Linked DNA regions of Neodiprion lecontei. The protein of the gene in region 2 binds, or shares a complex with, the protein of the main gene of each other region. Links are inferred from orthologs where the notes say so. Each region holds a gene or a part of one and is shown on either strand. Other genes may lie near its edges. The genes, in order: DNA polymerase epsilon subunit 4 and DNA polymerase epsilon subunit 2.

Region 1 (4,053 bases), on a different chromosome or scaffold from region 2:
CGAAAAGCAGTTTAAAAAAATTTTTATCCCTCGCATTAATTACATAATTTTATTATGGAAATTTAGTAGTTTTTTCAAGAGCAAGTTTGTCTTGTTCACCGTGTGTTGTCAAAATATTTAGAGGTTAATGCATGACCTTAATTCACGCAGAAAATAAAAAAAAAACCCAAAACAACAACACATTACCTTTGGTTCAACCTTGACAACTGAAATACTTTCATCCAGAGCTCGGAATCTTTGTCGTTCTTGTACTCTAAATTTTTTGCGTTCACTTGGGGTAGCACCAATCAAAGTATGTATTATCGGTGCTTCTGCCACATTGACAGCAGCGTCATATGTCCCACAGTTATCCTATTCCATAATTTATATTACTATAGAAATATAATAAACTTACAATATATACGATGTTTTCCTTACAGAATATTTTGATATTATCGTATCTAAGTTAGAGATAAATAAATATAATCTTCCTCATCTAGGCAAAACAAATTTTCTACCAACATTATCCCAATTCTCTTCACTGTCAGGAAGATCCGGCTCTGGCAAAGATTGTATTGCATGATTCTCATCTTGTGTGATGTACGTGAAATTGTCAACAATTCCCCTGTTCGAGCATGTTTCCAAGTGAAACAGGAATTCTTGTTCGTTCACCAGGTGTGTTGCATTGAAGGGGCATGTCTGCTTTTTAGATAAGGGATAAGCTTTGCGACATTTTGTCAAATGGAATTGCATACGTTTGCGAGCCAGTCTATGAGATGCATTATACGGACATGTCAAAAGACTTTCAGGGTCCGGTCCTCCAGTCAAGGGATGAGATGTTGGCATTGTTTAAATTTATATTAATATTGTTGTTGGTTTTGTTGTTATTATTATGATTTGAAGACCTCGTTACTCAAGGAGCTGCGAATATCTGTAATCAAAAAAGTATATAAAAACAGGTATACTTATATGTTTATGGCAAATAAAGGCGATGATAATATAACAACTTCAGAGTTTCAAAGAATGATATAAACAATTAGCACAGTGTATTCAGATTGGTCGGAATCTGCGTCACATAGTGACAACTGCCCAAAAAAAAATAGTATCTGAAAAACATCAAGTTTCTACTAAACATTAGAGTATATCAAACTTCGAACCTAATGTTTTCAGCATGATATTGAGAGTGCCACATCGCCCACAAATCCTTGCGAACGGTGCAGTTAATCAAATGACAAACTATGCGCATTCGAGATACAAAAATAAAAGATTTATGCTGTAGAGATAGTATTAATTATCAACAAATACGCCATGATAACAAAGGACGAGAAGAAGAGGAGAGCCTTCGCTATCTAGGATCACGATTTCGCAAGCATCTTACGATTAGCACCCTACCTTGGGTGTATTAGAGCACATTACCGTAATATTTCATTTAACCCATATAATATTTTGCTTGAAGATAATTTCAGCTCGATTACCCTCAGTAATGCAATAGATTGATCGTTTTGACAGATGAGATCTTGTTAAAATATTTACTCACCCCGTAAATAACTGCAAAATGATTAATAATTCGGGAGTAAATAGAGGTCACCTCGAATTCAAACACGTTCAACAACTACACAACACAAGTTTGTTCAAATTTTCTACTTTGAGTAAATGAACTAACCAATAGCACAAGAAATCCCCCCAAAACATAGTTACTTGCTTTGTCCAGTGTCGTATGTGAAGAGAGATAGATACACTTTGCTAACCACGGTCTTTGTTGCTAACTATGCAATTTGGCCACATCGGTGGTCGCTGCTGTGTTACCGGAAATGATAGCAGTGTGACGTCGAACGGTACCTGGTGGAAATTTCCAGATGCTAGACACCGGAATCGTTCACACAGCTAGAGTTAGACATCAGTTGTTTGGGTCACCAATTACCGACAGAGAGAAACCTTTACCGATAGAGTATTGAAATACACCGAACAACGGGCATTCTATCGCTCTAATCGAACGAACCGAGGAAGGAGTAATTGTTGGATAAAAGATTTAATTAATTGGCTTACCTTTTGAGAATAATCTGGATATGATGACTTGCAGCGTAGATTGGTGAGAGGATTTAACGGAATGACTGATTTTAATATATTTGGATACTTTGATTAACTTGGATTTATTTTATAAGTTCAATATTTCGAGTCACAAACAACGAAGTTACCTAGTGTAAGATCTTAAATTAATATGACAAAACGGAGCTGAAAGCTCGCTAGACTTTTGGGCAGAGTAACGTTGTATGAAAAGTTTAAATGCAAAAGGCAAAAGGATTTTACCGCGAGACTGTACCGGTACAAGATGACAAATCTGGTGGTAAAAACCCAGAGGACGATCCGATGATCGGTCGCCGTTTTTATAGATTTCAGTCGTAACCATAACCATAGTGTGTAGAAATATGCGTGAAGCTGCTGACAATACTTTTGTCAATTGATTGCTTCACAGAAAAAGAGTAGCGTTTAGCTCCTAGACGGACGAAATCGTGAAAAATCAATTCCTTTTTGCGATTGCATAGCGAGAAGCTCATCACATCAAGCGGTCCACTGATCCGTAAGTCGATGTTTGGGTCAGTAAATCGAACGTAATACAAATATTTCAAAAATGTCTGAAATGGAAGTGCATGGTTTCATGAGTGAAAATGAATTGAATGAAAGTGCAGTCAGCGAGATAGCTGAACATTCTCAGGATTCCCAAGAAGAAATTGACGGTGTTTCTCATGGTGACGAGGAACAGAAAGAAAAATTGTTAAAACTCCCACTGAGTAGAGTTAAAGCAATAGTGAAACTGGATCCGGATGTAAACTTAATCACTCAAGAGGCTGTATTTCTGATAACAAAATCAGCGGTAATTAGTTATTCAAATTAAATTTTTCTTATACATTTTCCTAATTCACCTATTCGCAGTTATTGCTAAATTGCATTGCTTGCAGGAACTTTTCATTGACTCCCTAGCGAAAGAGTCCTACAAGTATACAGCACAGAACAAGAAGAAGACTGTGCAAAAACGAGATGTCGAAATCGCCATTGAAAATGTCGACGGATTGGTGTTTCTAGAAGGAGCATTAGAGTGACTTTGAATCTTTTTTATATTAGCTTTAACACTTGCACGTCACTCATGCGGATGACTAAGATGATTTTCTCATTTCAATCGATAGTGTATTTAACGTGAAACAAACATATGTTATATCATGTAATTATTAAGATAAGTATTTAAATTCATTAATTCATACAACAGTTGAAGCTCTTGTAATAACATTTAAAAATATTTTCAATTATCTTTGTGTAATTCAACAAGTTTATTCCGATACCTTGTGATACAGATTAGTTTTTAAACCAAAGTGTCGTAGGAATGAACTGGCTCACAGTAGCCTGGGAAATTTTGATTTTGGAAAGGTTTGAAATAACTGTATTAAGGACAAATAAGGCAGTTTATTTTGTAAAACATTTAAAGCTACACACGAAGTTATTAATCACGTTATTTATTATCATCATTCTTACAATGCTTCAATGCGGACGAAAAAACAAAAAATGATCCAGCGACAGATAGACATAAAAATAAGTATTGTAAGACTTGGTATAAAGAGTATTTATTTGCTTAGTTATTACATAACGCGTGCCACATTCACTTGATTAGATCATATCAGCTTTAGTTGAATACATATAACATTTCCTCATGTATAGATTTTATCTCCGACATATTTACTTGCACTCAGTTTTCCCTACCCTTATTTCAGAGCTAAAAATGACATGCAGATAGTTATTGGAAAGTACCGGATTTTTAGTATTATTATGATAAATTTCGTAAGGCTATTAAAACTGAATGATGCTGGGAAAATAAAATCAGTCTTATTTTCACACTCTCTGACTAAAGATTCTCTCAGCATATTTAATTGAATTGTTAGTTAGTAACTTATAGAGATCATATACATCCTATTAATAGTCTAAATTGTGAGTTGAGTATGAAAATGAAAAAATCTCAAATGCTGTGTGATGCAGAGAAATATTATATGTAAAGCGTGATTAAAATATTAGTTTTTATTTTTTTTT
Region 2 (5,800 bases):
GGTTAAACAAGGTAGTATTGAATATGAATTTTAGTGTTTTGTTATTTTTTCATTTTCTTTTCTCTTGATTGTTCGTACAACTCTTTCTCCTTTTATGGTTGCGTTATAATACAACCGCTGCTGATGTTATTATGCAGCAAATTCATAGGCTTGTACTGAAACTTGGATAGATCTCTTTATATCAAACATTTTTTTAAACAATCTCCCTCTCCGTTTGCAACTTTTGTACACACGCATATGTAATAGACTGAAAGTATTTTTTTCCCAATTTTTCTTGGATTCTTGTTAGCTGTAATGTCTTGTATGTAATATGAAACTGCGATACTTTTATATGTATTTACAAGTCTTGAACAAGTATATATCTGTATATTACTGTATATCTATCGATCAAGCGTCTGCATGCTTTTGTGACTGTGTTTATACAGAAAACAAAACACAAAAATTTACGTGTACATTGTAAAATACCAATAATCACAAGAATAGTAATAGCAAAAGCGAGCTATTAATATTCGTAGCTAAAGAAAAGTACGAAAGTCGAGCATGCATTCACTACAATATTTCCGCGAAAACACACAAAATATTTCATTCATCACATTAGTAAAAATAGGAATAGTAATAATGATATTTAAAACATTACACATTTTTGCTGGATTTCGGCATCCAGTGTATTCGTTATCTGTATGTATAAGTATGTACATACATGGGTATAGGTATAGGTATATGAAAACGAGGTAGTCTTGCAGCGACAAATTTGCACGTATCAATCCTCTTCCTCTTTGCCTCTCACTCATGCCCCAGTACCCTACCGACGAGTGATTAAATTATTATTATTTTTCTGATTTTATTTAATTATCGTAATTACAATTAATATTAATATTATCACACTACTATAGTTAGTTATAAATAATATTACAATTACTATTACGTCTGTACTTGTATTGTTAACTTAATCATAATTATAATAATGATTACACGCTGTTATTTCTAAGTTGAAAGAAAAAGTAAACTAAAAGGAAAATGCCCACTTTAAGTTGCGAACATGAAAACGCGCCGACGAATCAAGTATTGTAAAAGTTCGCGACAAGGGGTGAAAAACGACAGAGAACAAACATTCATAATTGTCCTGTGAAAAATGAAAGAAATAGTAATAATAATAATAAATATTGTACAAAATTATAGCGAAGTACACATCATGTTTGGTAAACAGGAATGATCAAGCTATACCGTGAAGTATGAAATTTACATTATTTTTCATTTGGTTAGAAATCTTGTTTTGTTGAAAATTGTTGTTTAAAGGTATCATCTTAAGCCTGTAAACAAAAAAAGAAAATAACGACCAAAATATTGACAGATCGTTAGCTCTGATCTTCTTTTTCCATCTCAGAATCTTCGATTTTATTTTCTCCTGGTATGTAGACTTTGAATGGAAAATCATTTTTCGAAAACACTCCTGGATTTACAACAAAACATTCGTTGTACTCAGTGTTGTAAGGCTCAAACTGATCAGCCACGACTATGAGATCTGGCGTTGGATAAAGCTGTAACGCTTGATCGTGCTTCCAGTAAATAGGCACTGTAGGTAGGGCCATAGGGGTCAAGTGGGATTGCGAGATTATCGATTTGGCATACTGAAAATATAATTGAAAAAGAAGAAATTAGATTTGATCCATTAATTGATGTATATTTTTTCTTACGTAACAAAATAGAACGAAACTAACGTCTTTGGGGATATCCGCATCGTCGGGAAGGTATAAAGTGTTCCTGCATAACTTAGTAAGAATATCTTCTCTGAAAACTACTATTTCCTTTGTACAGTACTGAATTCTACAGGGATTTGTTGCCAGAACAGTTTTAGGAATGGCCTTGATGAAATCCTCAACTACGTAACCAGGTATAGGTGCTCTTGGGAATATTCTTGGTGCCCCAGGATCGTGTGGCCCAGGAATAAGGACGAATTTACTGTTCTGAACAATCTCTGGATAGCCTGCAATTATATCAGCCAATCTTTTGAAGCCTTCCTTCAGTTTCTGTGAACTGGTTACGTTTGGTGGAAAGCTCAGAAAATTCCCACATATCACAAAAGCCACTGGGGGAAAATTTGAGAACTCCTCTAACATGAGCTTGAGTTTTTCAAGTACTATCTGGTCGTCGACCCATAATTCAGATATGAACACGATCATCTCATCTGGGTTGTTCTCCTCAAAATTTCTCAACTTCTCCGATGTTTTCAGCGACACTGGATGATGACCACCAAAGGTGTTCGCCGTTCCGAAACGCGCGCGACTTTCTGTCGATGTCTCGGACGGTGGAAATCCTATGGTTTTTACGACAAGTACCCTATCTTCGTAGTCTCCTCGTACCAGAACTACGCAACCCTCGGTTATAAGATGTGCTTGATAGTCTTGAGAGAGAGAGAGAGTTAAGGTAAAATAAATCACACTTACGTGCAAATCATTAATTATTGTTTCAGAATTGTCAAAGAACTTCCTATAGTTTGTTTTGAAAAGGATATTGCTTGACTGAGATCAATTTTGACATATCCGCTTGCATCTTCCAGGTAATACTGTCTTTCGGTCAGCTGAGCTAACATGCCTATAACGTAGACATCTTTAGCCTCAGAGAGACTTAGTAGATACTCTATTTGACGTAGCTTCACTCTGACTGTGTCCACTTCACCAAATTTGACAGGAGCAAAGAGCTCATTCTGCATGGTCCTGTGCCATAGGAGCTCGAGTCGTTCTTTGATTACCAGAGATTTATCGACAGGTTCTGAAAACAAATTGGGAACGCTCTGCTCGATGACAAATTTCTTGTTCGTGACATCGTATTTTATCTTTGGTACTCTGAAACCGTCGAGAACGTTCAGGATTGTTTCAGTCTCTTGGAGACTATTGCTTGGTCTAAGGCACTCCTTGAGAGCCACCTTTATGTGATCCACACTAACGCATGGCTCAACTAAATCCTGTGCCAGGACATACTCGACTATTCGACATATCCAGTGTTCGTGCTCCGCTGCATCAATATTTCGCAATTGACGCGCTAAATGAAGACAGCATTTCCTGAAGGATGAGGAAAAAATTGTATTGTCAATTATGAGACGATGACTGTTGTCATTTTTTTTTTTGTTCCATTTTATTGTGAATTCGTTTTGTCAGATAGTAGATGTCAGCAATATATATTTCATACTTAAAGTATATCCATACATACCTGTTTATGTTCAGACCAGACAATTTGAACGCTGTTTGAACGGTTTTTATTAACCTCTCATTTTCCATGGTAGCTGCTTACATTCACGTACCCATTTACCATTGCATGGATGAACGAATGAAACTGACAATGAGTGGAAAACAGGGTCAAATTATTAAAATTAATAGATTAGTAAACAACACCGATGTTAGAGTCGACGTATTAATAGATAAATTTACACTGGAGACTGCAAATTCATTTGTATTTCTAGAATAATCACGGCCTGCATTTACGCGGGAAAAGCCGCACAGGTGACACCGCCTAACCGCTAGCAATAGTATCACAGGCTAAATGTTATGAATGAAAATTAGAATTTGTTCGAAAACTGTACACATAGATTTTGTCAGTTAATAATAATGCGAAATCTTCAACTATCGTGTGACACAGAATCATATGAAGAGTTAACTAATGAGGCCTTGAGAATTAATGTCGCAATGAATACAGGTAGAGTAATAGGATACTGATTTAATTGATTACATGTTATGATGTGTTATGTCAACATAATCATTATTCCTTCTTGTGAAATACATAATCTATCAAAATCGATAGTCGGGAAATTTCGTATTGGTAACATTGATTTATTGATTAATTGGTCAATTGATAAACAAATTGGAGCTGGAGCATTAGGCCGTGTGTAGAGTGAACGCTTGAGCTAGGCTTCTCAGGCAATTTGATACGCAATTACGTGTATTGGATACCCTTTGAAAAACACTTGAGGCACATAATGTTGACGCAAATAAATTCTGGTCATCAGGCGTACTCAGTATTGCAAGAAATGGCTTTCGTTGCTACGTACTATTACTCATATTTCTACAATAATTGGAGTGACGGTAGTACAGGTAGGAAAGCGATAAGTAATAAATGTCGAACAGAATGCGAAAATGATTATTCCAAACATAATTATACCAATCAAAATTATTCTACATACAATACTGACACCCAAAATTATTCCACACACGATTATGCCGCAAAAAATTGTTCCAGGCTTTATAGTGTGTCACAAACTATTCTAGATATAATTATGCGACGCACAATTATTCTGCACATAAGTATACCACACGAAATTATTGTACACATAATTATACCAAATAAAATTGTTATACTTATGAAAAAAAAGCTGCACTAAATTAGTCGTGTATCCAACTATCGCAACGAACTTGTTTTCTTGTTTTTCAGTAATTGAATATCTAGTTGTAGGTTTTATTAGTTAGGTGAGCTATACCGGCGCTACACAAGCGCATTCTGCACCTCTGCAGAATTTTATTGCAAAGTCTTGGCATATTATACTGTATTTTTATTGTGTAACTAGCTACATTAATGATTGAATAAATAAATAAAACTACAACATACCACTCAAATTATTCTACATGTAATTATACCATACATAGTAATTCTACATAAGATTATATCACACCATAGTATACTATACATGGAAATACCGAATAAAATTATTCTGCACACAAATGCCTGCTTCCCTAAAAGAGCCTGCAAACGCTTGCGTTTACGTCTAGTGTCCTTATTTTGTAGCTATTGTAGAAAAATTTCAGTGTGAAACTGCTCTTGGTATCAGGAGCGCAGGAGAACCGAGGATCTCTTCTAAAAATAGGGAGACATTGATTGATTGATTGGCTGCATGTGATGTCGACGCTGTATGACTGAAGGCATGCATGCTTGCTTGAGAGGGCATGAGATCTCAAATTTTCGCGCCACTTCCTATTAGAATTAAGCAAATCGGAGAAATTTCAGCGAAAATTACTCCGGGTATCAGGAGCGCAGGAGAACCGAGGAGCTCTTCCAAAAACAGGTACACATTGATTGATTGATTGACTGCATGTGATGTCGACGCTGTGTGACTGAAGGCATGCATGCTTGCTGGAAAGGGTATCAGATCTTGAAATTTTCGCGCCACTTCCTATTAGAACTAAGTAAATCGGAGAAATTTCAGCGAAAATTACTCCTGGTATCAGGAGCGCAGGAGAACCGAGGAGCTCTTCCAAAAACAGGGACACATTGATTGATTGATTGACTGCATGTGATGTCAACGCTGAGTGACTGAAGGCATGCATGCTTGATTGAGAGGGCACGAGATCTCAAATTTTCGCGCCACTTCCTATTAGAACTAAGCAAATCGGAGAAATTTCAGCGGAAATTACTCCTGGTATCAGGAGCGCAGGAGAACCGAGGAGCTTTTCCAAGAACAGGGACACATTGATTGATTGATTGACTGCATGTGATGTCGACGCTGTATGACTGAAGGCATGCATGCTCCGAGTATCAGGAGCGCAGAAAAACCGAGGAGCTCTTCTAAAAACAAGGACACATTGATTGACTGCATGTTATGGCGACGCTGTGTGACTGAAGGCATGCATGCTTGCTTGAGGGGGCATGATATCTCAAATTTTCGCGCCACTTCCTATCAGAACTAAGCAAATCGGAGAAATTTCAGCGAAAATTACTCCTGGTATCAGGAGCGCAAGAGAACCGAGGAGCTCTTCCAAAAACAGGGACACATTGATTGATTGATTGACTGCATGTGATGTCGACGCTGTGTGAC

The links.
Region 1: DNA polymerase epsilon subunit 2 (region 2) and DNA polymerase epsilon subunit 4 share a complex: the UniProt entries of both Homo sapiens proteins name them as parts of the DNA polymerase epsilon complex. The link is inferred for Neodiprion lecontei from reciprocal best matches to the Homo sapiens genes POLE2 and POLE4.

Annotation. Positions count from the first base shown.
Region 1 is NC_060263.1:35,832,207-35,836,259, forward strand, and holds DNA polymerase epsilon subunit 4, read left to right. Parts: upstream 1-1,911; 5' UTR 1,912-2,068; intron 2,069-2,452; 5' UTR 2,453-2,608; coding exon 2,609-2,851; intron 2,852-2,936; coding exon 2,937-3,077; 3' UTR 3,078-3,281; downstream 3,282-4,053. Other genes in the region: gametocyte-specific factor 1 homolog, read right to left, coding at 187-351, 502-825. UniProt on the Homo sapiens protein: Accessory component of the DNA polymerase epsilon complex. Participates in DNA repair and in chromosomal DNA replication.
Region 2 is NC_060266.1:940,973-946,772, forward strand, and holds DNA polymerase epsilon subunit 2, read right to left. Parts: upstream 3,886-5,800; 5' UTR 3,276-3,885; coding exon 3,208-3,275; intron 3,060-3,207; coding exon 2,513-3,059; intron 2,403-2,512; coding exon 1,719-2,402; intron 1,629-1,718; coding exon 1,356-1,628; 3' UTR 658-1,355; downstream 1-657. UniProt on the Homo sapiens protein: Accessory component of the DNA polymerase epsilon complex. Participates in DNA repair and in chromosomal DNA replication.